4 linked regions of the Elephas maximus indicus genome follow. The protein of the gene in region 2 interacts with the protein of the main gene of each other region in a biochemical or structural test. Links are inferred from orthologs where the notes say so. Each region holds a gene or a part of one and is shown on either strand. Other genes may lie near its edges. The genes, in order: SLC6A3, SNTA1, ADRB1 and proto-oncogene Mas.

Region 1 (7,583 bases), on a different chromosome or scaffold from region 2:
GATAGTCATTGGTTTTCCCGAGTCTGTTAATAAGGGCTGCATCATCTAGTTACATTTTTTTTTTTTTTTTTTTTAAATCTGCTTTGTTGAGACATGTTTGGAAAAAAAGGCCTTGTGTGATGGTGCTTGGCACATCAGATCCTAGGGGGCTCCCTGAGGTCCCCAACACCTTCCTGGTCACCATTCCTCTCCCCTGATCCTAATGAAGCTTAGAAGAACTGTTCCTGAGAGCTTTCTCAGTGGTTTCTCAGACTTCGCTTTGTACCAGTCCAGTCCTCAGGAGCGGTGGGGATGGGCAGAATGAGGAGATTAGCCTCTAGGTCCGAGCCGGAGGGGCCCCACGGTGGAGGAAATGGGAATGTGGGGAGCCAGGGCTCTGAGGTCCTGTGTACCAAGGGGAGGGAACACTGCTGAGCAGGGGCATGTGTGGCCAAGACAGGCGTAGTGAGCCTAGGACTCGGGTGGGCACCCCATTACAGGCATATCTCAGAGAGATCGTGGATTTGGTTCCAGACCAGTGCAATAAAGTGAATATCGCAATAAAGCAAGTCATACAATTTTTTTTTTTTTTGGTTTCTCAGGGTATTTAAAAGTTTGGTTTATACTACAGTCTATTAAGTGTGCAATAGTATCGTGTCTAAAAAACAACACACATACCTTAATTAAAAAACACTTTCTTGCTAAAAAATACTAACCATCATCTGAGCCTTCAGCAAGTCATAATCTTTTCGCTGGTGGAGGATCTTGCCTCCATGTTGATGGCTGCTGACTGATCAGGGTGCTGGTTGCTGAAGGTTGGGGTGGCTATGACAATTTCTTAAAATTAGACAACAACGTTTGCTGCATCAATTGACTCTTCGTTTCATGAAAGATTTCTCTGTAGCATGTGATGCTGTTCGATAGCATTTTACCCACAGTAGAACTTCTCTCAAAATTGAAGTCAATCCTCTCAAATCCCACCATTGCTTTACAACTAAGTGTATTTAATATTCTAAACCCTTTGTTGTTGTTTCAACGATGTTCACATCATCTTCACCATGAGTAGATTCCATCCCAAGAAGCCATTTTCTTTGCTTATCCATAAGAAGCCCATTGTTGTCGAGTCAATTCCAACTCATAGTGACCCTACAGGACAGAGAAGAACTGCCCCATAGAGTTGCCTGATTGATTCGAACTACTGACCTTTTGGTAGCAGCTGTAGCTCTTAACCACTACACCACTAGGGTTTCCTATCCACAAGAAGGAACTCTTGATCCGTTAAAGTTTTATCATGAGTTTCCAGCAATTCAGTCACACCTTCAGGCTCTACTTCTAATTCCAGTTTTCTTGCTATTTCCACCACATCTGCAGTTATTTCCTTCATGGAAGTCTTGAACCCCTCAAAGCCATCCATGAAGGTTGGAATCAACTTCTTCCAAACTCCTGTTAATGTTCATATTTTGACCTCCTCCCATGAATCACGAATGTTCTTAATGGCATTTAGAGTGGTGTCATGGATTGAATTGTGTCCCCCAAAAATATCTGTCAACTTGGCTAGGTCATGATTCCCAGTACTGTATGATTGTCTACTATTTTGTCATTTGATGAAATTTCCCTAAGTGTTGTAAATCTTACCCTACGATGTAACGGGATGGATTAGTGGCAGTTATATTGATGAGATTAGGTAGTGTCTTAAGGCAATCTCTTTTGAGATATAAAGGAGAGAAGCAAGCAGAGAGACAGGGAAACCTCATACCACCAAGAAAGCAGTGCCAGGAGCAGAGCCACATCCTTTGGACCTGAAGTTCCTGCGCTGAGATGCTCCCAGACCAAGGGAAGACTGATGCATCACAGGGACCTTCCTCTGGAGCCAACAGAGAGAGGAAGCTTTCCCCTGGAGCTGGTGCCCTGAATTTGGACTCGTAGCCTACTAGGCTGTGTCAAAATAAACTTCTCTTTGTTAAAGCCATCCACCTGTAGTATTTCTGTTATAGCAGCACTAGATGACTAAGACAAATGGTGAATCCTTTCCAGAAGGTTTTCAACTTACTTTGCCCAGATCCATCAGAGGAATCACTATCTACAGCAGCAATAGCCTTAGGAAATGTAGTTCCTAAATAATAAGACTTGAAAGTCAAAATTACTGCTTCATCCGTGGGCTGTGGAACGGATGTGTTAGCAGTGATGAAAACAACATTAATCTTCTTACACATCTCCATCAAAGCTCTTGGGTGACCAGGTGCATTTTCAATCAGCATTAATATTTTGAAAGGAATCTTTTTTTTTTTTTTCTGAGCAGTTGATCTCAACAGTGGGCTTAAAATATTCAGTAAGCCATGTTGTAAACAGATGTGCTGTCTTCAAGGTTTTGTTGTTCCATTTATGGAGCACAAGCGGAATAGATTTAGCGTAATTCTTAAGGGCCCTAGGATTTTCAGAACAGTAATCGAGCATTGGCTTCTACATTAGTCCCTAACTAGAGAGTCAGCCTGTCCCTTGAAGCTCTGAAGCCAGGCATGGACTCCTCTGCAGCTCTGGAAGTCCAGGATGGCGTTTCCCTCCAGTATAAGGCTGTTTCGCCCGCCTTGAAGTCTGTGGTTCAGTGTAGCCAGCTCACCGATCATCTCAGCTGGCTCTTCTGAATAACTTGCTGCAGCTCCTACATCAGCATCTGCTGCTTCACTGTGTACTTTCATGTCATAGAGGCAGCTTCTTTCCTTAAACCTCATGAACCAACCTCTGCTAGCCTCAGACTTTTCTTCTGCAGCTACCTCACCTCTCTCAGCCTTCATAGATTGAGGAGAGTTAGGGCCTTGCCCTGGATTAGGCTTTGGTTTAAGGGAATGTTGTGGCTGGTCCCATCTTCTATCCAGACCTAAAACTTTCTCCATATCAGCAATAAGGCTGTTTTGCTTTCTTATCATTCGTGTGTCCACTGGAGTGGCACTTTTAATTTCCTTCAAGAACTTTTCCTTTGCTTTCCCGAAATGCTTAACTGGTGCAAGAGGCCTAGCTTTTGGCCTGTCTCAACTTTCAACATCCCTTCCTCACCAAGCATAATCATTTCTAGCTTTTGGTTTTAAGTGGTAGACATGCAATTCTTCCCTTCACTTGCACACTTAGAGGCCACTGTAGGGTTATTAATTGGCCTAATTTCAATATTGTCATGTCTCAGGGAGTAGGGAGGCCCGAGGAGAGGGGGAGAGGTGGGGAAAAGCCAATCAGTGGAGTAGTCAGAAACACACAACACTTATCCATTAAGTTTGCTGTCTTATATGGGTGCAGTTTGTGGTACCCCAAAACAATGACAATAGTAACATCAAAGATGACTGATCAAAGATCACCGTAACAGATATAATAATAATGAAATTTTTGAAATACTTCACAAACTACCAAAACGTGACACAGAGATGTGAAGTGAGCACACGCTGTTGCAAAATGGCACTGATAGACTTGCTTAACACAAGGTTGCCACAAACCTTCAATTTGTAAAAAGCACATTATCTTCAAAGTGCAATGAAACGAGGTATGCCTGTATAGTGTGCCCAGCAAAGAGACGATCTGGAGCAAGGCTGATGCAGGGGTTTGGGTTATCCTGGACAGGATGTGCACAGCCAGGTCGGGGCTGCTCACCAACGTGCCTTCTCTGCACCTGGGCTCCTGGACCTCCCTTAATGGACCCAGGGCTCCAGTCCCCCAAGTAAAAAAAAAATAAAAAATCCCAAGTACTGAGTGTCAAATCTTGCCTGGGAACATTTTTGAGAAGGAGACTTTGGGTCCACGTAGATCAGAGCCACGGATCGACCGCCTGCGGCTTTCAGAGCACACCAGGCCCGCGCATCTGGGAAAATCGTTTTCCAATGCGTGATAACTGGAGCCACTTGCTTCCAATCGATGAGCGCTGGATGCTGGCAAAGGGCAGGTCAGCACCACTCAGCGGAGACTTCAGCTCCCTTGCCCCGACGACGCCGCCGAGGAACCGGACTCCGAGCAAGGCCCGCGCTGGGGGCCACAGAAGGATTCGCGACTGGGTAGCTCAAGCCTGGGCGGCTCCAGGGCGGGCAAGGGGACAACTGGCCATCTGGGCGCGCAGCCCGAGGAGGGAAGGAGGAGACCCCGGCTAAGGTGCTGACGAGCTCAGCTCCGGTCCGGCCTGGGGAAGCGAGGTGGATACCCTCCGCGGACCAGGGAGCCCCGCCCCGCGGTCGCCCACTGCTCGGTGCTGGGACTCCGCGAGAGGGGTCGGGAGAGGTGGCCGCGGAGGTCTCCGGGGTCTGGGGGAGTGTTCGGTGAGATCTGGGGCTCCGCGCACCCTCCCGCCAGCTCCTTCCCCGCAGGTGCCTGCTCCTCCGGCGTCGCTGAGGCCAAGTGGCGGTCTCCAGGAGCCCCAAGAGCAGCAAGAGGCCACCGGGCAGCTGCGGGAGGTGTGGCCGGGGTGGGAGTTGACCCAGGCTGTTCCCGCTGGGAACCCGGCCGAGCTCGGCCCCGCAACACCCCGGCCCGAGGTGACGCGCACGACCTCGGGCCGAGAGCCGCGGCACCGCCTCCTGGGGCGCGGGGGGCGCGGGGCGGGGCGGGCAGAGGCGAGGCTGGCAGGCGGGGCGCCCAGCGCCACATAAGAGCCGGCCGCGGTGCCCAGCGCTGAACCAGAGCCGAGCCTGCGTGGACGCTGCGGCCGGGACCTGCGCACAGTCAGGCGGGCCGACGAGGAGCCGTCGGGCGGGCAGGTAAGGACCGGGCCGAGGGCGCGCCGGGCGCCCTCAGTGCGATGGCGACCTGGAGACGGTCGGTGGCCCCGGGGTGGCCCCGGCCCCCCCCTCCCCCGCGAAGCGCCTGGCCCGGGCGCCGCGGGCAGGGCGGAAGCACTGGGATCTCTGTGCGCTTCCCTCGCGCCAGTCCTGTGGCGGAAACTCGGGGCGCGCGGGTGTTTGTGGCTGCGGCTTCGTATCCCTATTCCCCCTTTACCGAAATAGACAACGTGAAGGTGAGCTGATCTGGGTCCTTTCTTCTAAACACATAACGCGGCCCCTGAGATCCGATCCGGGAGCATTGGAAGGAGGTGTTTTTGTCTTTGATTTTCAAGACCTCAAGCGGAGAGTTGCAGGGCTGTGCGGGTCGCTGGTGCAGGGAAGGACGGGGGCGAATGACCATTTCTCAGCAAGCGGCTTCTTGTCTTGGGGGCCGTGAGGAAAGACGCTTTATAAGAGACCCACCTTTTGCTTCCTATACCCCAAACATCGTCTCTGAGGCCGAGGGCTCAGGAGTGGGCTCTGGTTTTCTCTAACTGTTGAGCGTGGGGTGGGGTTCTGAGACGTGGGGAGGGGGTCCAGGATCTGATCACCTGGGTCTTGCACTCTGAATAGCTTCCCACTCTGTCCCAAGGTAAAACCCATTGCGGTCCACGCCCCAAAGCCTAGGCACCCTCCTCCACGCGTTTTTTCCAAGTCTGAGGAATGGACTGTTAGGTTTGTCACTGGGAAGTGAAGAGGCCACTGAAGACTGGAGAATAAAATAACTTAGGTCGTGAGTGTTTGCACAGACTTGGATGCAGAGAAAAATGGTGGCACTCCAGCTTCTGCGATGCTGTTCTCTGCCTACATATGCGGGCACTGGACAGTGTGGGTGTGTGCAACTGAAACACTGCTGTTGGATCCAAATACTGTCTCCCCCACCCCAAGAAAAACCCTCTCTGAAGTTGCTCTCGGGCTGTGAGGGGCCACCTCGCCCTTGGCTGTGGCAGTGTATGTGTAAATTCCCCTAGTCCTCTTTGCTTCATTACTCAAAACTTTTATGAAAGCAGTTTGAAAAGGACTTCCCTGGTAAAGTGGATAAGTAGACCAGTTTGTCCCGTTTCTCATGTAAAATTTAATGTGCTCTGTTCATCTCTGCAACTTTCTTGGGCGGAATCCATGAAGTCTCCCAGGGCCACAGGTGAACGTGGATGGTACAGGCATTCCTTAAACTGTTCTCATAGTTATTTTTTAAACGTCAATTACTGTGGCTGCTTTCCATGATACACAGTTTACTCTTAATTTTATTACTGAATGTAAAGAATACATATGCAGACTGTTTTTAAGATTTGCTCTTGAATGGTATTTGAAGATTGTAAAATCACTTCCTGGAAATGTGCGGGAGCCCGAGGTGGGGGTAACATCTTCATGTTATTATTGGACTGCATAATTAGAGATTACATAAACATGGCACTTTGATAAGGAAGAAGAGAGGTGCATGGGGAAAGAGGGAGCAAAGCCAAGCTGTCCTGAGCTCCCTACCGGCTTTCCCTCCCCTAACCCCACCAACAGAACCTCCTTACCTCGGCTCCCTAGGCCTTCTCTTTGATCCAGCCTCTGACCATTCTGAACCTGGGCTGTGCTTAGGTTCTGGGAACACACCTGTTCCACCCCTAAGACGATGAACGGCAATGCATACGATCTCTCCTCTTGAAAGGAGGCACATACATAGTCTTGATCTGTTGAATAATTGCATTCCTGTGTGTGTTCATTTTTTATGTGGGCTGAAGACCAAGAGGGAAGAATCGTAGAATTTCCAGATTCCAAGTCTGCCCATGAGTAAAACCAAATGCTCAATTGGACTGATGTCTTCCATGGTGGCTCCAGCTAAGGAGCCCAATGCCATGGGCCCGAAGGAGATGGAGCTTATTCTGGTCAAGGAGCAAAATGGAGTGCAGCTCACAAACTCCACCCTCATCAACCCAGCCCAAACCCCTGTAGAGCCCCAAGAGCGGGAGACCTGGGGCAAGAAAATCGACTTTCTCCTCTCTGTGATTGGCTTCGCAGTGGACTTGGCCAACGTCTGGCGGTTTCCCTACCTTTGCTACAAAAATGGTGGTGGTAAGTCCCATCTCAGCCCTGCCGTATGCTGCTGCTATACTGGAGGGCCCAAGGGGCAGCTAGAGGCAGTATGGGTAAGCACTGATAAGAAAATAGTGTCCTCTTGGGCGGTGATGAGTACTGGCTTAGTATCCCAGATGGATTTTGCAAAATTATAGAATACGAGCTCAAAGCAATCTGGCTCCATCTCTGAGTTTTGCATTTGAGGAACTCAAGGCCAGGAAAGAAGGAACTTGGAGGAAGTAGCTAGAGGCACCTGGGCCCTGCTTCCTAGGTCCAGCAGTTGTTTTCACTTTGGGAAGAGAATTCTCAAAGGCCCAAAGATTGGTATTGTTGGTTGCATACATGTATTTGCAAAGCATTTGGAGGCCCTTGAACTTGGATCAGGAGGTAGAAGTGTTTTCTCTCCCACTCTCTAACCCAGTCATCATCTGGGCTTTGGGTAGACAGAGAGAGGAAGACAATGAGGAAGAAGCAAGCAAAGAGACTGGGTAGAAGACAAAGGGTGAGGGGTTCAAAGCAACAGGAGATGCCCCTGGAAATGTGCCCATTTCCACTCCTTTCCCCCATCATTTCCTGAACTCAACTAGCCACACAATCATGTCTGTTTCTGGACTTGAATCAGAAAATTAAAATAACGGCAGGGCCACCCAAAACCTTCAAGCTGAGAAGCCAATTAAATTGGTGGTCATTTCCACAAGTCTTTATTGGCCCTTCCGCACCTCCACAATGTACTGACTACTTTGTGCTATG
Region 2 (6,939 bases):
GGCCTCTCCAATCCCTTGGAAGTGAACTGGACTCCTCTGGAAGCCCTGCCTGGGGTTATGTGGAGAGCCAGGAGAGAGAGAGAGAGAGAGAGCGTGTGTGTTTGTGTGTGTGCACGTGTGTGTTGGGAGGCCAGTCTGAGCCACAGCAGGGAGGCATCAACTGACCGCAGTGGATGAGCGGAACATTCCTCCAACTACACGGATCCTGGGGGTAGCTGCCAAGGGTACAGCTGATTGCTCCTGCCTCAGCTCTGTGATCAAGAATTCACACACACACAAACGCATGTACATACTCATAAACATATACATACATATACACAAAATACACACATACACATATACACAAACACACATGCACACAACAGTGTTTTTGCTGGCTCTGCACCACTCTTCCTTCACTGCTAGTTTTCTCTTATTCTACACACACCATCCCTCTTCTTCCTCCCTTCCCATTGTAGCCACAGAATACAGCACCCCAGGGGAGGAACTGTATCAAGCCTCTTTCCCACCAAGTTTGTCTGGGGCTCATTAATTCTTTTTTAAGCAGGGCAGTACGTGGGGGGACTTTTAAGGACCTGGCTCAAGGCTTTGGTCCTGGGAAAGTAAGCTCACCTCCCCCAGCCTCTTGCCTTCCGCCTGATGCCTTTTCTCTCTTCTTTACCGGTAAAGTTTCCAAAAGTAGGATACACTTCTCATTTATCACAACTGCTTATCCTCACATTTCTCAGGCTGCTCTCCAATCTTTAGCACAGTCATACTTCAACAATGATATACAATGCTATATTCTCTTTCTTTCTTCCTCTCTCTCCCCTCCCTCCTCCTTTTCTTCGTTCCCCTTTTCTGCTTTTCTTTCTTCTATATATTTATTGCATGTCACATATATGCCAGACCCTGGGTTCTTTTTGTGTGTGTGTCTGTCTCTTCGTCATGCATGTTTCCCCCGAAAGTAAGGCTATTTCATTGATGTCTATTTCCCAAGATAACTGCACCTCATATTTTTGGAATGCTTACTATGTACAGGAATTGTGCTAAGCAGTTTAGCAGCATTATTTATTCCTCTTAGTAATTCCAAGAGATAGTACCTTTAATATCCCCATTTTATAGATCACGATATGAAAACTCAGGGGTTAAATAACATATCCAGGGTCACACAGACAGGAAATGGCACAATGAGAATTTGAACTCAGGAAGTCCGAATCCAAAGCCCATGGTCTTAACCACTATAGGATCCTGATTCCTAGTGGATTATATGTTCTATAAGGTGAGGCTCCAACTGTCTTGTTTATAACTTTGCACTATGTCTGGCACATAAAGGATGTCCAATAAATATTTGTTGAATGAATGAATGAATTTTAAACTCACCCCTTGCTGCTATGTGGGCTGCAGAAAGGAGAAGGAGGGATATGGGCTTGGAAGTCAGACAGTCCTGGCTTAGAGTAGAGGTCTATACTTACTAGCCGTGTGCCTCAATTTTCCCATCTATAAAATGGGGATAATACATAGCCTGTGCAAGATTTATATGAGGTTTAAATGACAGAATGTATCTAAATCAGCCAGCTCATGTACCAACATATAGCAAAATGTGATTGTTAAGGTTCTGCATCAACTTGGCTGGGCCATGATTCTCAGTGGTTTGGCAGTTATGATGCAGTTTGGCAGTTATGATGCAGTTTGGCAGTTATGATGCAGTTTGGCAGTTATGTGACGACGTATCACCTCCATGATGAGCTCCGATATGTGATCACCTCCATGATGGGCTCTACTGTGAGCAGCCAATCAGTTGAAATGGAGTTTCCTTGGGAGTGTGGCCTGCATCCAATACAGCTGGACTTTCTGGCACGGCTGGTGAGCTTTCGCTCACTCTGGAACCTGCAGCTTGCTCCTGTTCATCTGACCTTCAGTTCTTGGGACCTGAACTAGCACCTTACCTGCCGATCTCAGCATTTGTCGGCCTCTGCAGCCTGTGAGCCAGAGGCCTGTTGTATGAACTGCCAAGTTTGTGTTCGACAGCACCAGCAGCTGGAAAAGCCTCCAGCCTGATCCATGGACCCTGGAGTTTCCAGGCTTTACAACTGTGAGAGCCATTTCCTTGATATAAATTTTCTGCTCTCTATATATCTATAGATGCTTCGCTGGTTTTGCTTCTCTAGAGAACCTAGCCTAAGATACAAACATTGAATAACTTGCATTTATATATTACATGTACATGCGCATAATATACATATGTTTTATATGTGGTCTCAGTGGATTTTCAGTGGCATAGACCCACTCCACTAATGTTGGACACTTGGGTTTGTCTAGTTATTTGCCAACCTAAGGCTGCTGTGGACAATCTTATATATGTACCAATTTTCTTCTGAGTTTTTTCTTCATGATGGCATCTTATGTGGAGACATCTAACCAAAAGGCTCAGAAAATGTACATACTGATGTGGCCCTACCTATTTATTGCCCAACACATCCCTAGGGGGGAGGATGGAGACAGGGGATAGACCTGAGGGCAGATTGGGGCAGAGGCAGGGCTTTTCTGATAAGGATGCACTGGGGTCAGACAGCTCTGCCCCACATAAAACATGTGGCCTAGGCCAATTTTACCATCTAAATCCAAGTTTTCCCTTCTGTATAATATGGGGTGGAAACACTGGTGGCACAGTGGTTAAGAGCTATGGCTGCTAACCACAAGGTCAGCAGTTCAAATCCACCAGGTGCTCCTCGGAAGCTCTATGGGGCACTTCTACTCTGTCCTATAGGGTCATTATGAGTCGGAATGGACTTGAGCGCAACAGCTTTGGTATAATAGGGGGTATTCCTAACAGTAGCTACTCCATGAGGCTACTGTAAAGATAACACATGAAAAATTCTCAGTGCTAGGCCTGGCCAATAGACAGCATTCGATAAACGAAAGTGGTTATATTGATAGCACAGTAATTCACAGCCCACAATGTGTTTTCACATCAATTTGATCCTTACACAAGGCTTGAGTCTGGCCATTTCACAGATGAGGAAACTAAGGTTCAGAGAAGTGAAGTGACTCGACTAAGGTTGACATGGAGCCAACAGAGTATCTGAGCTGGAACAGAAAACCAAGAGCCCACACCCATAGTCCAGCCAAAAGTCCTGGGTTCTCCTCCCGCCAGACTTCAAAGTGCAAGACTTCAGGCTTCACTGGGGCTCGACGTACTCAGTCAAGAGGGTTAACCTCTGAAACTCGCCTCCAGTTTCAAAGCGTGAAGCGTGTTCACCCTCTCGCCAAGCCCTAAATACGGCTGTTTCGCGCTTATCCCATGGGCGGGGCTCTAGAAGTCACACGCCACACTAAGCCACGCCCACATACAACTCCCACCCACCCCCAACCCAAACGGGAAACCAGCCCTGTCCAAGCTACCCCAGCAGCAGCCCCAACTGCAAAGACCCTCTTGGATCGGCGTTCACCTCTTAAAATCAAGCCCTGAACTGGAGTCCGGCGCTCCGCCCTACGCAGCCCTGCCCCGACGCCCACAGCCTCGCCCGAGGACCCGTGCTGTTGCCCGCGTTCTTGTGCGCCCACCTTTGTGAGCGACGATCCGGGCCTTCGACGGCCTTGAGCAGCGCGGAGTCTCCTCCACTGGAACCAAGGGCCCCGTCCCCGCCATGAACCCCGCCCCCTGCATGGCCCGCCGGGACACCCGCACCTCGCCGGCTCCTCGCCTCCCTCGCGGGCCGGCTGCCCAGTGGGTCCCACACTGCTTCGCCCCGCCCCGGCCTCCCGCGGGCCGCATGGGGCCCCGCCCCTAGCCGCAGGCCCCGCCCACAGACCTCCCCGCCCCAACTTCGAGTCACGCCCACAGACCACCCCCCCAGCTGCGGGCCACGCCCCACAGGTCGCCCCGCCCCAGCTGCGGCCACGCCCGCAGATCGCCCCGCCCCTGAGGCGCTACCCGCGGCGGCCGGGCTAGCGTGGCGGCTGGCCCAGCCGGGCCCCGCTGCCCTGTGCCCTGGGCGCTCGGTCGGAGCGGGCCGGCACGGCGGGGCCGGGCGAGCGCGGCGGCCGGGGGCCCCGGAGGCGAAAATGGCGGCAGGCAGGCGCGCGCCGCGCACCGGGCTGCTGGAGCTGCGCGCCGGGGCAGGCTCGGGGGCCGGCGGCGAGCGGTGGCAGCCGGTGCTGCTCAGCCTGGCGGAGGACGCTCTGACCGTGAGCCCCGCCGACGGCGAGCCCGGCCCCGATCCCGGCGCCCCGCGGGAGCCGGAGCCCGCGCAGCTCAACGGCGCCGCTGAGCCGGGCGCGGCGCCCCCGCAACTGCCCGAGGGGCTCCTGCTCCAGCGGCGCCGCGTGACAGTGCGCAAGGCCGACGCCGGTGGGCTGGGTATCAGCATCAAAGGTGGGCGCGGTGGCACAGAGGGCACAGGGTCGTGGTGTCTGTGGGGCCGCCGGAGGCGCAGGGGTCGTGGAAGCTGGCGGCTCACTGAGGACATGGATTTGGAGGCCTTCAGTCTGAGGGAATGGGGAATCTGAGGGAGCTGAGGGAACCCGGGGCATGCGGAGCACCAAGGTCGGACACTTAGAGCCCCTGACAATGCAGGGGAGCCCCTGACAGTGCAGGGGGGGTCGTCAAGGACCGGAGGTCTCAGGTGTCAGAGAGGGCTAGGAGCGCACCAAGGACATGTGGGTGGGGAGTTCTGTGTGGAGACATAGGGACCTGAGGAGGGCAACTAGCATGGGCACCAAGGACAAGAGGGGCAGCTGGAGAGCAGAGGGTGGAGAAAGGCGAGGCCTCGGACACTACTGGGGTGGTGAGGGGGAGTCCCTGAGACATCACCAAGTGGGGGCAGGGCATGGGGTCTGGGAAGGACGGGGGCAGAGAGCAGACGGTGGAAACACAGGCTTCAGTCACAAACAGGGCACCACAATGGACCTAGAAATCTGAGGAAGGCTGTGCACCTAGCCAGGGGGCCCTGACCTCTGGGCTTGAATCCTGATCCGACCCTCCCCACCTTGCACAGGATTGACAGGGGCAGACCCAGAGTTGCTGCTCCTCTGTGAGCTCCCAGCCCCCAATACTGACAGCCTTCTTTGGGGCTCAACCAGATTCCATTTGAGTCCAGGATCTGCTGTGTGAACTTAGACAAGTCACTTCCCATCTCTGGACCTCAGTTTTCTCAACTGTATAATGAGGATAATGATAGGGTTGTGATGTTTCTTTGACACCAGATGTCTAAAGTGTTCACCATGGCAGCACATAGTAGGTGCTTGGTTAGTTACTGCTGTTAGATGAGAGGAAAAATGGAGGCCAGAAGAGACTCCAGAAACAACTAACCATACTGCTTAAAATAATCCCTGCATACCTTCAGCTGCTGTGCTCACCATTCCTGCCTGTCTGTTTCTTAGGGTTCCAGCCCCCGTATCACCTGAATGTGTACTGTCCTCTCTGTTCATTGGTGCCTTCAGACCCTTTGGCCTGGGTGTGGGTATGAGGATGGAGGTGAATGCCACCATTGAGTGCCAGGTACTGTAGGCTCAGGATCTACTACATCCTGACAACAGTGATGAAGGGAAGGGAGTATAACCCCCATTTTGCAGGTGAGGAAACTGAGACTCAGAAGGTGAAGCGATTTTCCCAGGGTCACACAGTGAATAGCTGAGATTTAAACCTCAGTTATGAGGCTACCATCCCCCTGCCTCCTGCTCCACGTAGGGAGTGCCCATTAGCATTGTTTCTTTCCTGTGGAAGGGTAAGTCCCCAGGCACCCAACAGTGGGTGTCTAAAAGAAGGGAGTGGGGAAGCCAGGGAGCAGGCACTAGCTTTGCCCCCAAATCCCAGCATGGCATAGGGCAAGTGGGCCAATCCAAAAATTGTACACTCAGTGTGTCAGAGAAGGAAGGAACTTAGAGTTTATATAGAGTTCCATTTCTCAGATGGACAAACCAAGACCCAGAGAAGAACAGAGGCTTTCTAAGGTCACATACAGTTACTCCCTAGTTCCATGCTTCCGGGTGGGTAGGAGGGTACTTTTAGGAGGCTCAGGGTAAGTACTAGTTCCATCTAATTCCTGTGGTTGCCATGGTGACTGCCCTTCTAGGGTCCAGTGCAGCTGCAGGCAGCCAGGAATGATCATGGCTTCAAACTGGATTAAAATCCCTAGTTTCAGGTCAGAGAGGCGCCCCCCGCCAAAAAAAAAAAAAACACCAGTTTTGTTCAAGTCCAACTCACAGTGACCCTATAGGACAGGGTAGAACCACCCAATAGAGTTTCCAAGAAACACCTAGTAGATTTGAACTACCAACCTTTTAGTTAGCAGCTATAGTTCTTAACCACTATACCACCAGGGTTCCCAGGTCAGAGATGGCAGCAAAGATAGAAAGCCCTTCCTCTCCTAGACCTCAGTCTGAGCAGTTTGACAGGTAAACTCTTGGGCTTGTGTGGAGGGTGGAGAAGCGTTCCAGTCCCAGGTCTGCCACCAACTTGTTTTGTGTTTGGAATAAGGACCTCCTTTCTTTGAGCCAGAGCCCTGGTGGCACAATGGTTAAGAGCTCGGCTGCTACGCAAAAGGTTGGCAGTTCGAATCTACCAGCTGCTCCTTGGGAACACTGTGGGGCAGGTCTACTCTGTCCTTAGGGTTGCTATGAGTCAGAATTGACTCAGTGGCAATGGGTTTGGTTTTTCTTTCTTTGGGCCACTAGTTCCTCATTTTCAAAACTCTGGGGATGGACCAGGAGTGTGATACCTGAGAACCCAGCATACAGTCTACTATAGGGTTAAGAATGTTGGATCTAGAGCCAGCAGACCTGGGTTCAAATCCTGGCTCTGCCACTTACTAGCTGGGTGAACTAAAGCAAAGGGCTACTCTCCATACCTCAGTTTTCCTAAGAGCAAATTGAGGGTGCCTGTGTGATAGGGCTGTTGTGAAGATGTGCCGAGATGACATTTAAACGATTTAGCACAGTGCCTGGCATGTGGTACTG
Region 3 (7,917 bases), on a different chromosome or scaffold from region 2:
GATGGAGTGGCTTGTCCCTGTGTAAACTGTGGTTGTAAAACCAACATATGACCTTAAATCGCAGCCACGGGCGCAAGCTGTTCTTTGATTACTTAGCACTAAATGACTGTTTTAGCAGTTGTGTTTCTCATGTGAAGAGAGATATGTCTTCTCTCTGAAACAGTCACTTGAGCTCTGATTAATAAATTCCCCCACCTATTATCAGTTTCAAGACAATTTTTGCTAGCCAACTGTTTGGCCACGCTTCTTGATGTTTTACTTGGAAATCTGTCCCTCCCCAGGACTTCCCTGGGCCCACCTTCCACCAGCTGTGGAGGCAGTCTACTCCCCTTTCTTTTTTAACTTATGTTCTAGCAAAATCAACTCAAAAATGGAAATGTCTTTGCCGGTACCTGGTGCTGTTGACTTGATTCCAACTCATGGTGACCTCATGTGTTTCAAAGCGGCTGTGATCTTTCAGAAGTAGATCAAGAGGCCTTTTTTCAGAGGCATCTCTGGGTGTATTTGAATAGCCAAACTTTTAGTCAGTAGCCAAACACTTAACTGCCCACCCAAGGACTATATATTATGATGAGCCCACTGTCTTTGAGTCGCTTCCATCTCATAGCAACTCAACAGCACAGAGTAGAGCTGCCCCATAGGGTTTCCTAGGCTATAATCTTTACCGAAGCAGACTGCCACATCTTTCTCCCATGGAGTCACTGGTAGGTTCAAACTGCTGATTTGGCTAGCAGCCAATAAGATAGTACTTTTTATTATGCAACTTGCAGGGCCCCTTTGGAAAGCCTCTTGCCTATGTACTTCTTTATTCATTACTCAGTGTGGTATCTCATGAGCCTACCTTGAATTTGTAAGGTGTTTTGAAATGTTTACATGGAAATGCTGACTAGGCTATAGAAATTTGACTTATTATGACAAATTATAAGCATGAGTGAAAATTATAACTCTCAAAACACTAGATTATTTCTCATATGAGTAAATGTGAAATGGTTTAATATAATTAAAATATAAAATATTTATGAATCAATGCTAAGTGTTAATATTAGGTAAATATTAATAAACATGGAAGATATAAAAATGTATAGGGCAGCCCTGGCTCTTGGCGAGCTTATAATCTACAAGGAAATGCATTTCTGTGAGTGATAAAGCTAGAATTTGGTTGTAGAGGTACTTAAGTTTCTCTGAATTTCTGTTTAAAAAAATACATTAAATTAGAAACATTCAAAACCAGAAGGGTATTCTTGCAGGAGTTCCCAAGCAGGGCTATAAGCATAAAGAGAAAAACCCATTTAAAAATTAAATAACAATATAAGAGGCATCAAAAGGCAAGAGATTGCTAATTGCCACCTAAATGGCAACTGGAAGAGTAAGTCAGAGGAAGGAGAGACCATGTCTCGCAGTCAGGGACCAAAAAAAAAAAAAACCAAACCCATTGCTTTCATGTCAACTTTCTTAGCAGCCCTATAGGACAGAACAGAACTGCCCTATAGAGTTTCCAAGGAGCATCAGGTGGATTCGAACTGCCGACCTTTTGGTTAGCAGCTGTAGCATTTAACCACTACGACACAAGGTTTCCAGCAGTAGGGGGCAGGGAAGAATATAAAAGAAATAAGACTTCAGCCAGGTCTTGAAAACTGAATCTAGTGAGACAGAGGAGGAAGGGATTCTTGGTGGAAGCAATCAGCGGGAAAGAGTTGAGAGCCAAGAAAGGAAAGAGTTAAGGACTGCAGGTTAAGGTGACATGGACAGTTCCAATGAGAGAGAACTCTGGAAAGGCCATTTGGAACTGGACTGTGGAGGACATTGAATGTCAAGTAGAGTTCAGGTTTCTGAACAGAAAAGCATGTTGGTCAACGCCCTGTTTTAGAAATATTAACCCGACTGTGGTATGCCAGAGCAAATCAAGGGGACGGACTAGAGGCAGGGAGATGACATAGAGCCCGTGGCAGGTTCTGGTGTGGCGTGACGGACGTGAGATGGGAACAGGAGAGGTGTGGGTGGAAAACACTGAGAGAGAAGCACACTACCTCTCAAGTGTGCTGATTAGCATCATTGCTGGAGCTCTGTCATTTTCTAAAGTATTGTCCAATGTGTGGGTTCAGAGCTGATTCATTTTAACAATTGTAGATGGAGGATGGAGGGATGGAGGAGTTATTCATTTTGAAGTTGCAACCCCCAAAACATTTAATATCTGTGTAAGTTGATATGTTGAACCTTTTCCCCTTGATCTTGGATTCTCATCTAAACACTAAAAGTATTAGCCAAAGTATGTCTCAAAAAGTCATGAAATGGAGGAATTAAGGGAGATATGGGAACATTTTCTTTTAAAAACAAAGCTAATTCAAGTTCAGCATGGACTCTTCCAAACTTCTCAGTCAGTACGCCTGCAGGAAAGCCCCAAGAATAGCTGGCGCCCCTTTATGCTTATAGCCCTATTTGGGAACTCCTGCTAGAATACCCTTCCGGTTTTGAATGTTTCTGATTTAATGTATTTTTTTATACAGAAATTCGGAGAAACTAGATTTAAGTACCTCTACAACCAAGTTCTGCCTTTACTCACAGAAATGTATTTCCTTCACCCTTCAGGGGCACTTAAGGTTGCCACACTCTATTCTGGTAACACCACTTGACAGAAAGATGGCGCCAGATAGAACGCCTTTCCTCCACATTCCCCACCCCACAGCCAGGCACTCAGAACCTCTTTTCTGGGCAGCATCAATTTCAACTCTTTCTAATCCCCTGGTTATTTTGAGACTATCCCTTGAAGGCCTGAAAGAAGGATGCATTCTCCAGCCTCAACTCTTTCTAGACCCTCTTGTTTCCTGGCTCTCTCTCCTCATCCTCCTCAAATTGGCAGAAGTAGGCCGGTAAGTCCTAGGGGAGGGGCGAATAAACAAATAAATCACTCCCCAGTTGTAGCACTCTGAATACCAAGTTTGGACCTAAAGCATTTCTATATACTTAGATTTAAGTAAGAGAAGGTAGTTAAAACTACTTAACTTTATAAACTTAATAGGCATTGCTTTTTGCCCTTAAGCTGAGTAGCTATGGAAGTCAGTCTCTCTCTACAAGGTAAGAATATAAATTTGGTCCAGAAGTTGATGTTCCTTCCAGATGCTGATTTATTTTTATGCCAATGCTAGAAAGATGTGTGAGCATTATATAACATTTTCACATACCCTTGCATAAAAAATTAAAAGTGGTTTACTTCTCAAAGATGCAGTGAAACATTCTTATTTTTCAGGCCTGAGCTGAGGACATTACCATGGTCGATCAAATTAGAGAAGAGGGTTTGCTGTCGCTCTGATGTTGATGGCAATGCTATCAGTCCCCCCACATAATCCACCCACAAAGGGCAGATTTCACTGATTTCAAACCGATTCCCTAGCAACTCAAAAGCCACTGGTCTATCTTTAAATGCTTTCAGATTTTAAACCTCTTGAGTATTTATGTATTTTCTTTTCATATCCTTCCAAAACTAACCCCAGAGTTTTGAGAAATCTGGAAACTTGGGCAAAGGAGAAAACAACCCTGCAGACCAAGAAGTCTGAAATCGTATTTTTATTCCTTCAACCCAAACTGGCAGGACCTTTTTGTTTGTATTGACCCAGCTCAAATTATAAAACCATATAAGTAATAAAACACAAAATACAGGTGTTATCCCTGAAGGTAAAAAGACTGAAATGTAATTAAATGTGCCCTTTCTTCGTGGCGATGTCATTTACTTTGTAGGTTAATATTTGTGTTTCCTAAAAATCTCTCTGTTTTTATTACAAACACACACGGTTGCATCATACTCACACATTCATTATTTGGGACTGAGGAGTGTGTGTTTTTCCAACTCGGTCTCAGCGTTAGCTGTTGGATGCACAAACATCCGCCTCCTTTCTGCGTCCACTGCACTGGTACAACAGGAGCCGGTTGCAAGAACAGCGCCCCGAGAGCGTTGCTGACAGATGCGAGGTTTGCTCCTGCCACGCGCTCGGCTGGGAAGTTTCCTCTAACCACTGACACCCCTCTCCAATCCCCCGAGCTGACAGGACGCAGGCTGGCTGGGTCCCCTTTTGATGAGGGAAGGGTTTTGCACACACCCTGCTAGGTTGCCCGATCAAGAAACAATCTCGCTGCCAAACTCCTCCAACCTCAGCGGACAGACTGTCTAAGGCGCTCTGGCGCTTCAAGAACACCGAGGTCCCCTCCCGGCTAAAAGGAGCACGCGCTCTGCTCTGCAGGAGACCGGGCACTGGAGGTAGAGGGGAGGCCAGGGGGCCTGGGGGTGCAGAAGAGTTGGGGGAGGCGTTGAAGAGAGCGGGATGTGGAAGAGGGAGCCGGGCGCTGTAGGCAAGAGGGGCTTAGAAGCGAACGGAGCGTAGAAGCCAGTGGGCGGGGGGGGGGGTCACAGGACGGGGCGGGGACGCGGAAAGGAGCCCGGCGCGGTAGCCGGCGTTGGAAGAATGGGATGCAGGACTGGGCGCGCGCAGGAACCGGTGGGCTCCGAGGTGGCGCTCGCTCTGAGCTCTGCCCCCAGCTCCCCCAAGCCACTTAATTGCGGGTGAGAGGGAGGTGCGGGGACTTGGGGAGGGGGGGAACAAGATAGGGGCGTGCCTTGGCCCTGATAGGCTGCAGGAGCCTGACGCGACGCCCAGGGGGTTGGCTTGGACCGGGTGGGAGGGGGGTGGGGGGTGCTGGGTGCCGGAGCTGCGAGCCCGGCGCGCTCAGAAACATGCTGAGGTCCCGGCGGCTGTTCCAGCAGCGGCAGCGGCTCCAGCAGCAGCGGCGGCGGCGGCGGCGGCGACAGCGCTAGGCTTTGGCTCAGGCTGGGAAGGCGCCCGGCGTCGATGCCTCAGGTCCGGCACCGCGACTGTCCTGACCCGGCCGCGACCTGCCTCGGAGCGCCCCGCTGCAGCGGCTTCTGGGGTGTTCTCCAACCACGACCCAGCCCCGCCACACCCCCTGCCCCTGGCCTTCGCAGCTCGGCATGGGCGCGGGGGCGCTCGCCCTGGGCGCCTCCGAGCCCTGCAACCTGTCGTCGGCTGCTCCGCTTCCCGAAGGCGCGGCCACAGCCGCGAGACTGCTGGTGCCGGCATCGCCTTCCCCCTCTTTGGTGCCCCCAGTGAGCGAAGGCCCCGCGCCGCTGTCGCAGCAGTGGACGGCCGGCATGGGCCTACTGATGGCGCTCATCGTGCTGCTCATCGTGGCGGGCAACGTGCTGGTGATCGTGGCCATCGCCAAGACGCCGCGGCTGCAGACGCTCACCAACCTCTTCATCATGTCCCTGGCCAGCGCCGACCTGGTCATGGGGCTGCTGGTGGTGCCGTTCGGGGCCACCATCGTGGTGTGGGGCCGCTGGGAGTACGGCTCCTTCTTCTGCGAACTTTGGACCTCGGTGGACGTGCTATGTGTGACGGCCAGCATCGAGACCCTGTGTGTCATCGCCCTGGACCGCTACCTCGCCATCACGTCCCCCTTCCGCTATGAGAGTCTGCTGACCCGCGCGCGGGCGCGGGTCCTCGTCTGCACCGTGTGGGCCATCTCGGCCCTGGTATCCTTCCTGCCCATTCTCATGCACTGGTGGCGGGACAAGGGCGAAGAGGCGCTCCGCTGCTATGAGGACCCCAAGTGCTGCGACTTCGTCACCAACCGGGCCTACGCTATCGCCTCGTCCGTCGTCTCCTTCTACGTGCCCCTGTGCATCATGGCTTTCGTGTACCTGCGGGTGTTCCGCGAGGCCCAGAAGCAGGTGAAGAAGATCGACAGCTGCGAGCGCCGCTTCCTCGGCGGCCCCGCGCGGCAGCCCTCGCCCGCGCCCTCTCCGACCCCTCCGCGCGCCCCTGCCCCGGTGGCCAACGGCCGCGCTGGCAAGCGGCGGCCCTCGCGCCTCGTGGCCCTCCGCGAGCAGAAGGCGCTCAAGACCCTGGGCATCATCATGGGCGTGTTCACGCTCTGCTGGCTGCCCTTCTTCCTAGCGAACGTGGTGAAGGCCTTCCACCGCGACCTGGTGCCCGACCGCCTCTTCGTCTTCTTCAACTGGCTGGGCTACGCCAACTCGGCCTTCAACCCCATCATCTACTGCCGCAGCCCCGACTTCCGCAAGGCCTTCCAGCGCCTGCTCTGCTACGCGCGCCGGGACGCCCGGGGCTGCCATGCGGCCCCCGGCGACCGGCCGCGCGCCCCGGGCTGCCTGGCTGTGGCCGGGCCGCCACCGTCGCCCGGGGTCGACGACGACGACGACGACGACGTTGGGGCCCCACCGCCCGCGAGCCTGCTGGAGCCCTGGGCCGGCTGCAACGGCGGGGCGGTGGCGGACAGCGACTCGAGCCTGGACGAGCCGACCCGCCGGGGCTCCGGCTCGGAATCCAAAGTGTAGGGCCGGGCGAGCTGCGGGACGCCAGGGCCCCGCCACGCTGCCGGCCTGGGACGCGGAGTCTGCGTCCCGGGGAGGAGGAGCGCCCGGGCACCCTGGAATGGCTTCCCAGGGGAAAGGGGAGAGCTTGTGTTTACTCAAGACCGAAAGCAGGTGAATGCGACGCCCACAAACCTCGTCTGAATCAGCCAAGACAAAAAGAAAAGCCACGCACCGTTGCACGAAAAGGAAAGTTTGGGGAGGGATGGGAGAGTGGCTTGCGGGTTTTGCTGGAGTTCTTTGATGTTTGTGGTTGGCCTTCTTCTGTGTGTGCGGGTAATGCATCTTTAGATTTTTGTTTTCCCCCTCCACGTGGTTTTTTGACACTTTTCGACAAGGACCAGAGTGAAAGTTGGGTGGATAGGGGAAGGGAGAAGCATTAGGGAATAAAAGTATCTCGTTGGCGTCCACCCCATTCCAGGGGAACAGGAGCATTCAGCTGGGGCGGGGTAGGGGACAGCTTGTCAGGGCGTGTTCCCTTTTGCTTTCCAGACAGTTTTCATTTTAACTTCTGGGTAACGATTCCTCCTGTTCTTAAAGCAAAGCGAAAGGATGGATGCAGAAATCGTGTTTCAAGCCATTTTCAGCTATTCTTAGAACAAGCCTCACCTTGCTTAGCTTTCGCAGGGCTGACTGGCTGCCCCCGCCCGCCCCGCGCGCCTCGGTGGTCAAGCTGAGGGCGTTCTACCTCACACTGTGCATATTGCACAGCAAGATGCAAAGCCTTGTTTATATTAAACAGTTTATTTATGTATCAATATTAGTTTGAAGGACCAGGCACTGAGCCTTTGTGACATGTGACTCTGTCCCTTGAAGACGGGACAGAAAACTTTTCAAAAAAGGAAACAATTCTAGTATCAAAACAGATAACTGCACATTTGGGTAAAAACAAACAAAAAAGAGAGTGGCTCAAAATGCCATTTTTGCACAGTGTTAGAAATTTTGAAGTCCACAGATGTTACTTGCACAAAAAGAAATGAAATGTTTTTATGGGGTGGGGAAGTGTCTTAAAAACTAAAATAAAATTCGAACTCTTCTTCTGTTGTCTATTGTTATTTGAGCTAGCGATTTACTGGGAAAATACCTTTTTATACTCTTTTATCATGGTACTGTAACTGTATCCATATTATAAATATAATTATTTGAAGGTTTTTTTTTTTTTTATGTCCAAGTGTCCCCATGAATCTGCTGGTAAAATTTAGCACTCGTGTGTAAATTCTATTTCCTCTTGTGTGTTTTACCAAGTATTTATACTCTGGTGCAACTAACTACTGTGTGAGGAGTTGGTTCACGTGCAATAAATGCCAGTGAAGCACAATCAAGGTTATGTATGTGTGTTTGTAAAGGGTCAGTGATAATGGAAAGGACAGCTTGTTTTGCTCAAAATACAGATGGGATTTCCAAGATAGCCCTTCTAAAAGCTTTTCATGACTCAAAAATGTCTGTAGACCAAAAAGACAAAAAAAAAAAAAAGGCGAGCACCTCCTGAGAGCTGCAGACTTGCCCTACATTTT
Region 4 (6,322 bases), on a different chromosome or scaffold from region 2:
GGGGTCAACACCATCCAGCAAATCTCCTCTAATCCCTGCCTCCACCAGAGGGGGCAGCACCTGGAGGTGGAGTTTTCTTTCAGTGATTAAGTTTGGTGTCACCTGAGGGGAAAAACCCAAAATGAAACATTTAAGGTCTTACTTCCACAGTCACGTTCAGCATGAGGAGGCCACCAGGTGGTGTTTAGAAACGCCCCAGTGAACCTTGCTGCCCTAGGTGAGCCTCCGGGGAACAGGGAGTCCAGTTCATCCAAAAATCCTTGTTATGGATTGAATTAAAAACCTGAACCCGCTGCCGTCGAGTCGTTTCCGGCTCATAGTGACCCTACAGGACAGAGTAGAACTGCTCCATAGGATTTCCAAGGCTGTAAAATTTTACAGTAGCAGACTGCCCAATCTTTCTCCCTCAGAGTGGCTGGTGGTTTTGAACCAAGAACCTTTAGGTTAGCAGTGGGGGCTTAACCACTGTGCCACTAAGGTTCCTTGGATTGAATTACTTCCCCCCCCACCCCCCCCCACAAAAGATATGTTGAAGTCATAACCCCTGGTCCTCAGGAATGTGACCTCATTTGGAAATAGGGTCTTTGAAGATGTTATCAGTTAGGTCAGCATAGGGCCATATTGGAGTAGGGTGGGTTCTGGTCCTATATGACTGGTGCCCTTATAAAGAGAAGATCCACAGAGATAGGGGGACAGAGATGCTCCAGCTGCACGTCAAGGAACACCCAGAGGCGTAGTGAGGGGGCGGACAGAGGGGGGCGTGGGGGGACCAGATGAAGCGTGGCATGACATTGCCAGGCGCCATAAATATGAAAGGTGCCTGACTGAGGCCGCCGAGGGCGCAGGCATGTCTGCGGACGTACCACAGCTAGAGCGCATTACCCTCGCTACACCTTTGACCTTGCCCTGGAGCTGGCGCCCTGAATCCCGGCTTCCGGCCGCCTGAACTGTGAGAAAATAGATTTCTGTTTGTTAAAGCCACTCACTTGTGGTATTTCTATTATAGAAACATAGATAACAAAGACGGGAACCTCAGGGGGCAGTGAGTTTCTGAGGAACAACTCAGAAAAGAAGAATGAGAATGGTCGCGCGACTCGAAGAATGTAATCAGTGTCACTGACATGTCCATGTAGAACGGCTGAATTGATGTATGTTTCCCTGTGTATTGGAGCCCTGAGGGCGCAGTGGCTAAAAGCTCGGCTGCTAACCAAAAGGTTGGTAGTTCAAATCCACCAGCCACTCCTTGGAAACCCTATGGAGAAGTTCTACTCTGCTCTATAGGGTACCTATGAGTTGGAATTGACTCGAAGGCAACATGTTTGGCTTTTGGGTTTGGTTTTGGGTATATTCTCAAGAACAACAACAAAGTAAGTAAATAAAAACAGTTAGGCACTCGAGAACAGGGAATACAAAGGCAAACACAGCTGGAATCTGCCCTAACTGATGTTCTTCTAACACCTCACGCTCAATGCTCCCTGAGCCAAGCTCTGAGCCCTCTAAATCCCCTGCTGGCTGCTCCTCCTGTCCCTAATCTTGGTCCTTAGTAGTTTGTCTCCACAGCCTCATTAGATGGAAATCTCTGTCTCCCCCTCACCCCTCACAATCAGGCAGGCCTGAGCTGGCTTCTCTGGAATGTCTCTGGAAGCCGTTTTCTCCTTTCACTCCTTCAACCACTATCCTAATTATTACTTCTCACCAGGACTGTTGCAACAACCCACTCTGGTTCCTTTGCCCCATTTGTTGCCCCTTCCGCCTAGCCTTCAGACTACCCCCGAGAAACGTTTCTAAAGCACAGTTCAGGTCATATCCCAGCCTGCGTCAAGCCTTTTAATGGCTTGATTACAAATGGCACATTTCTTACACTGTGGCTCGTGACCCACATGCATTAGAATCCCCTAGACTCCGATTTTTCAGAGTCGAGGGCCCCATCTCAGACTTCCTGAAACAGGAATGTCCTGGAGTTTACTTTTTTAATCAGCACCCCATGTGATTTTTAAGCACCACCATTGGGTAAGCAATAGCCTTTAGAATAGGACTGACACTTAAGAAGCATTGAAACTAGCCTTTTGTGCTTCCTTCTAGCTGTTCATTTCCTTATAAATCAGACCTTCACCCAAAGGTTGACCAAAACCCACCCAAACTCACTGCTGTCGAGTTGATTCTGATGCATAGCAACTCTACAGGACAGAGTAGAAGTGCCTCATAGGGTTTCCAAGGCTATAAATCTTTATGGAAGCAGACCGCCACATCTTTCTTCCATGGGGTGGCTGGTGGGTTTTAACCACTGACCTTTTGTTTAGCAGCCAAGCACTTTAACCAGTGTGCCACTAGGGCTTTTAAAGGTTGACCAGACTCCTCAAATTCCACCAAGAACACTCTGTACCCTCCTGCCCGCATGCCTTTGTCCATGCTGTTCTCTTTTTTTAATTACCTTTCTTTCCCTTCCTCAACTAACAAACTCCTCTTGACCCTTCAAGGCCCAGCCTTATTAGCCCTTCTTGAACTCCTGATACACAGCATTCTGCTGTGTGCTTGCCCAACACTTAATCAGGTCTCTTGTCTTCCACTTATTCTGTTGAATTAGATTTGGTTGACAACATGTTTGTCTGCCCCTTGCAAAGCTATGCAGAACACTGTGTCTTATTCATTTTATTGTCTTAACACTTATTCCAATGACTTAGACCATCAGCAAATCAAATGATATCCAGAACCAAACCAGGTCTTACTGCCTCCACCACTGCACCTTGGTCCAGGCCGCCATCAGCTCTCCGTCTGGATCTGGCCTCCTTCCTTCTGCCCTTGTTCCCCCAGAGTCCAATCTGATCACAACCACCATGGTCAGTGTGCTTTGCTTATCTCCCCAGCACAGATTATTTACATATGTATTCACGTGTTGTTGCTGTTTTTGTTGTTTATGACTGATTGTCTCCCCATTAGAATATAAACTTCAAGAGGTTGGGGTTTGTCTGTTTCACCCACTGCTGTATCCTAGGTGCTTAGAACAGTACCTGACATGAAGTCAGCAAATACGTAATAAACTCAATAAGCATTTGATGGATGAATTGGGTTGGGGGAAGCTCCCTTCTGGGAACAACACAGTCTTACCTACAAACTTGGAACAAAGCTTGTTTCTACAACAGGTCTTGGTCAGCCATGCTCTGGTCTTGTGAATTCTGGTCCTTATCCTGTGTTCCTAAGGGTGTTTGTGGTGTGCATCTTCTCTCTGATTGCAAAATGAAAGGAGATTTGGCCCATTGAAGATAATCTTTAGCACCCTGCCAGAGCAGCTGAGGAAAGCATCGGTGGGAAAGAGTGGGATTAAGATGGCGTCAGCAGGGATGTTCCCCGGTTCCTGGAATCTTGCCACAGGGGAGATAACTACCCAGTTCACTGACGGGAAGGCCCACTGGTAATCCAGGCACAGCTGTCCTCAGAAGAAACTCAGAGCCCTGCAAATGCTGGGGATCTGCTGATTCATTTCTGGAAACGTCTAATATTATCAAGCTCCACAACATAGAGCATCCATACCCTGTATCTGCTTCAAGTGAGCTTATGAGGAGGAGGCAGATATCAACTAATTTAATCAATTTTTGATCAGCTTCAGAAAGGTTAATTATTTTGCACATGAAGGGGCCCTGGTCTGCAAGAGCAGCATTCAAAAAGCAAGGATAACTAGTTAGACTTGGTGCCAGGGTGGTGATCCCTGCTGGCTACCTCCTTTTTCCTTTCACCCACGGTGGGAAGTGGGTGAGGCGTATTTGTGTCATGACAGCAGGGCGGGTTGTTGCAGCTATTTGTTTTGCAATGACTAAAGAGCGAGGCAAAGTTTCTGAAAATTTTTGCTTTGCAGCCTCAAATATTTAGTATTTTTATCAGCTTCCCGTCAGTAGTTTGATTAATATCTGTGTCAATAGTGTTTTCTTGGATGGTCTCTCTATGGTATGTGGAGCCATAAATACACCTCGTTAGTGCTACCATCTGTTCCACAGAGAGCACTGGTTTGCATGGCGTACCTCATCTGAGTAGGTGCCCAGCTTTGCTGAGACCATATACGACAAATGCCTTTTCATTGTTTGCACTTCAAAAAATACTGATGCACTGTTAAACAGAACTTTACCAGGCATGCCCTCTCAATTACCCATTGCATACAGCACTTTATGTATTAAAAAAGTGGCAACAGCAACATTGCCCAAGCATGTAATTTTTCATTGCATTCCAGTGCCATTAACTGGGTCCCTCAGGTGAGGAAATGGACGCACAGAAGATGTAATGATTTTTCAAAAAGCCATTCAGAAGGCTCGGGCAGAGCTGGAAATGGGCATCAGGAATTTGAATGCTCTTGCCATGCTGTGTGCTTTGGGGCACAGATAATACAGAATTAAGGGCTCTCAGGGATCAAAAAGGAGCTCTGGTGGTGCAGTGGTTAAGTGCTCAGCTGCTAACCAAAAGGTCAGTGGTTCGAACCCACCAGCCACTCCATGGGAGAAAGATGTGGCAGTCTGCTTCTGTAAAAATTTACAGCCTTGGAAACCCTATGGGACAGCTCTACCCTGTCCTATAGGTTTGCTATGAGTCGGAATTAACTTGACAGCAATGGATTTTTTGGCTTGGGGATCAAAAATCATTAAATCTATTCTCTCACTTCACAAAATGTTGAATTTTGCTGTTAGAAAGAGAATTGTATAGACTATTAAAAATCCTTTTATAACATAAAGATTATGACCCATAACTAAAATTCAGCCTTTTGCTCCAGTTCACCAATTTTCATGATATATATATTTGTACTTGGTTACAGAAAATTACCTGAAGAGCCCAGCCTGCACTCCCTCATGGATGGATCAAACGTAACATCATTTGTGGCTGAGGAGGCCATGAACGCCTCCACGAGCCAGAACACCTCCACGAGGCCTCCGCACCAGGAAATCCCAGTTATGCACTGGGTCATCATGAGCATCTCCCCGCTGGGGTTTGTGGAGAACGGACTTCTCCTCTGGTTCCTCTGCTTCCGGGTGAGAAGAAACCCCTTCACGGTTTACATCACCCACTTGTCGATCGCAGACATTTCATTGCTGTTTTGTATTTTTATTCTGTCTGTTGACTATGCTCTTGATTATGAGCTTTCTTCTGGCTATTACTACACAATTGTCACTTTATCGGTGACCTTTCTGTTCGGCTACAACACAGGCCTCTATCTGCTGGCAGCCATTAGTGTGGAGAGGTGCCTTTTGGTCCTGTACCCCATCTGGTACCGGTGCCACCGCCCCAAACACCAGTCGGCATTCGTGTGTGCCCTCCTGTGGGCACTTTCTTGCTTAGTGACCACCATGGAATACGTCATGTGTATCGACAGTGGAGGGCAGGGCCACCCTCGAAGCAACTGCAGGGCGGTGATCATCTTCATTGCCATTCTGAGCTTCCTGGTCTTCACTCCACTCATGGTGGTATCCAGCATAATCTTGGTAGTTAAGATCCGAAAGAACACAAGGACTTCCCTCTCCTCGAAGCTGTACCTGGTCATCCTGGTTACCATCATTGTATTCCTTATTTTCGCCATGCCCATAAGACTCCTTTACCTGCTCTACTATGAGTATTGGTCAACGTTGGGGACTCTGCACCACATTTCTCTTCTCTTCTCCACCATCAATAGCAGCGCCAACCCTTTTATTTACTTCTTTGTGGGCAGCAGTAAGAAGAAGCGGTTCAAGGAGTCCTTAAAAGTGGTTCTCACCCGGGCTTTCAAAGATGAAATGCAACCAAGGCGCCAGGAAGACAATGGTAATACCATCACTGTTGAGACCATTGTCTGAGGGCTCTGGAGGGAAATCGTGGACAAACTAGGGGTACATAGACAATTTTTAGTTTGTGCTTGGAATACAATTTCTGTGTCTCCTAAATATGAGACTGAGACCCTGGGGTGCAAATGGCTAAGGGGCTCCACTGCTAACCATTGGAGGTTGAGGTTCATGTCCACCTAGGAGTGCCTTGGAGGAAAGGCCTGGCAATCTACTTCCAAAAAACCAGTCATTGAAAACACTATGAAACATGGTTCTACTCTGACACACACAGGGTCTCCATGAGTCAGAGTCGAATTGACGGCAACTGGTTTATGGGTTTCAATATGAGACAGAACACCCATTCCATGTACATGAGATACTAATTAACGATGAGATTGTACTCTTGCCCTGTATCTTCTGGAAATGCCCAGGTACATGTCAGGCACCTATCATTGCTGTACCTATCAAATAACTCAGTCCCTCCTCAGCTATCCTTGGGACATATTCCACAGACTACAAAAATTAGCAGGAAGATTTCAAGATGTGCA

Evidence for each region.
Region 1: the proteins of SNTA1 (region 2) and SLC6A3 interact in a test that uses a peptide from one of them, tested with the Homo sapiens proteins (2 studies listed by BioGRID and IntAct). The link is inferred for Elephas maximus indicus from reciprocal best matches to the Homo sapiens genes SNTA1 and SLC6A3.
Region 3: the proteins of SNTA1 (region 2) and ADRB1 interact in a test that uses a peptide from one of them, tested with the Homo sapiens proteins (2 studies listed by BioGRID and IntAct). The link is inferred for Elephas maximus indicus from reciprocal best matches to the Homo sapiens genes SNTA1 and ADRB1.
Region 4: the proteins of SNTA1 (region 2) and proto-oncogene Mas interact in a test that uses a peptide from one of them, tested with the Homo sapiens proteins (2 studies listed by BioGRID and IntAct). The link is inferred for Elephas maximus indicus from reciprocal best matches to the Homo sapiens genes SNTA1 and MAS1.

Annotation. Positions count from the first base shown.
Region 1 is NC_064820.1:12,234,891-12,242,473, forward strand, and holds the start of SLC6A3 (sodium-dependent dopamine transporter), read left to right. Parts: upstream 1-4,567; 5' UTR 4,568-4,706; intron 4,707-6,499; 5' UTR 6,500-6,544; coding exon 6,545-6,830; intron 6,831-7,583. UniProt on the Homo sapiens protein: Mediates sodium- and chloride-dependent transport of dopamine. Also mediates sodium- and chloride-dependent transport of norepinephrine (also known as noradrenaline). Regulator of light-dependent retinal hyaloid vessel regression, downstream of OPN5 signaling.
Region 2 is NC_064843.1:36,114,040-36,120,978, forward strand, and holds the start of SNTA1 (alpha-1-syntrophin), read left to right. Parts: upstream 1-3,935; 5' UTR 3,936-4,047; coding exon 4,048-4,357; intron 4,358-6,939. UniProt on the Homo sapiens protein: Adapter protein that binds to and probably organizes the subcellular localization of a variety of membrane proteins. May link various receptors to the actin cytoskeleton and the extracellular matrix via the dystrophin glycoprotein complex.
Region 3 is NC_064834.1:64,997,286-65,005,202, forward strand, and holds ADRB1 (beta-1 adrenergic receptor), read left to right. Parts: upstream 1-4,875; 5' UTR 4,876-4,978; coding exon 4,979-6,367; 3' UTR 6,368-7,739; downstream 7,740-7,917. UniProt on the Homo sapiens protein: Beta-adrenergic receptors mediate the catecholamine-induced activation of adenylate cyclase through the action of G proteins. This receptor binds epinephrine and norepinephrine with approximately equal affinity.
Region 4 is NC_064819.1:232,290,573-232,296,894, forward strand, and holds proto-oncogene Mas, read left to right. Parts: upstream 1-4,829; coding exon 4,830-5,807; downstream 5,808-6,322. UniProt on the Homo sapiens protein: Receptor for angiotensin 1-7. Acts specifically as a functional antagonist of AGTR1 (angiotensin-2 type 1 receptor), although it up-regulates AGTR1 receptor levels.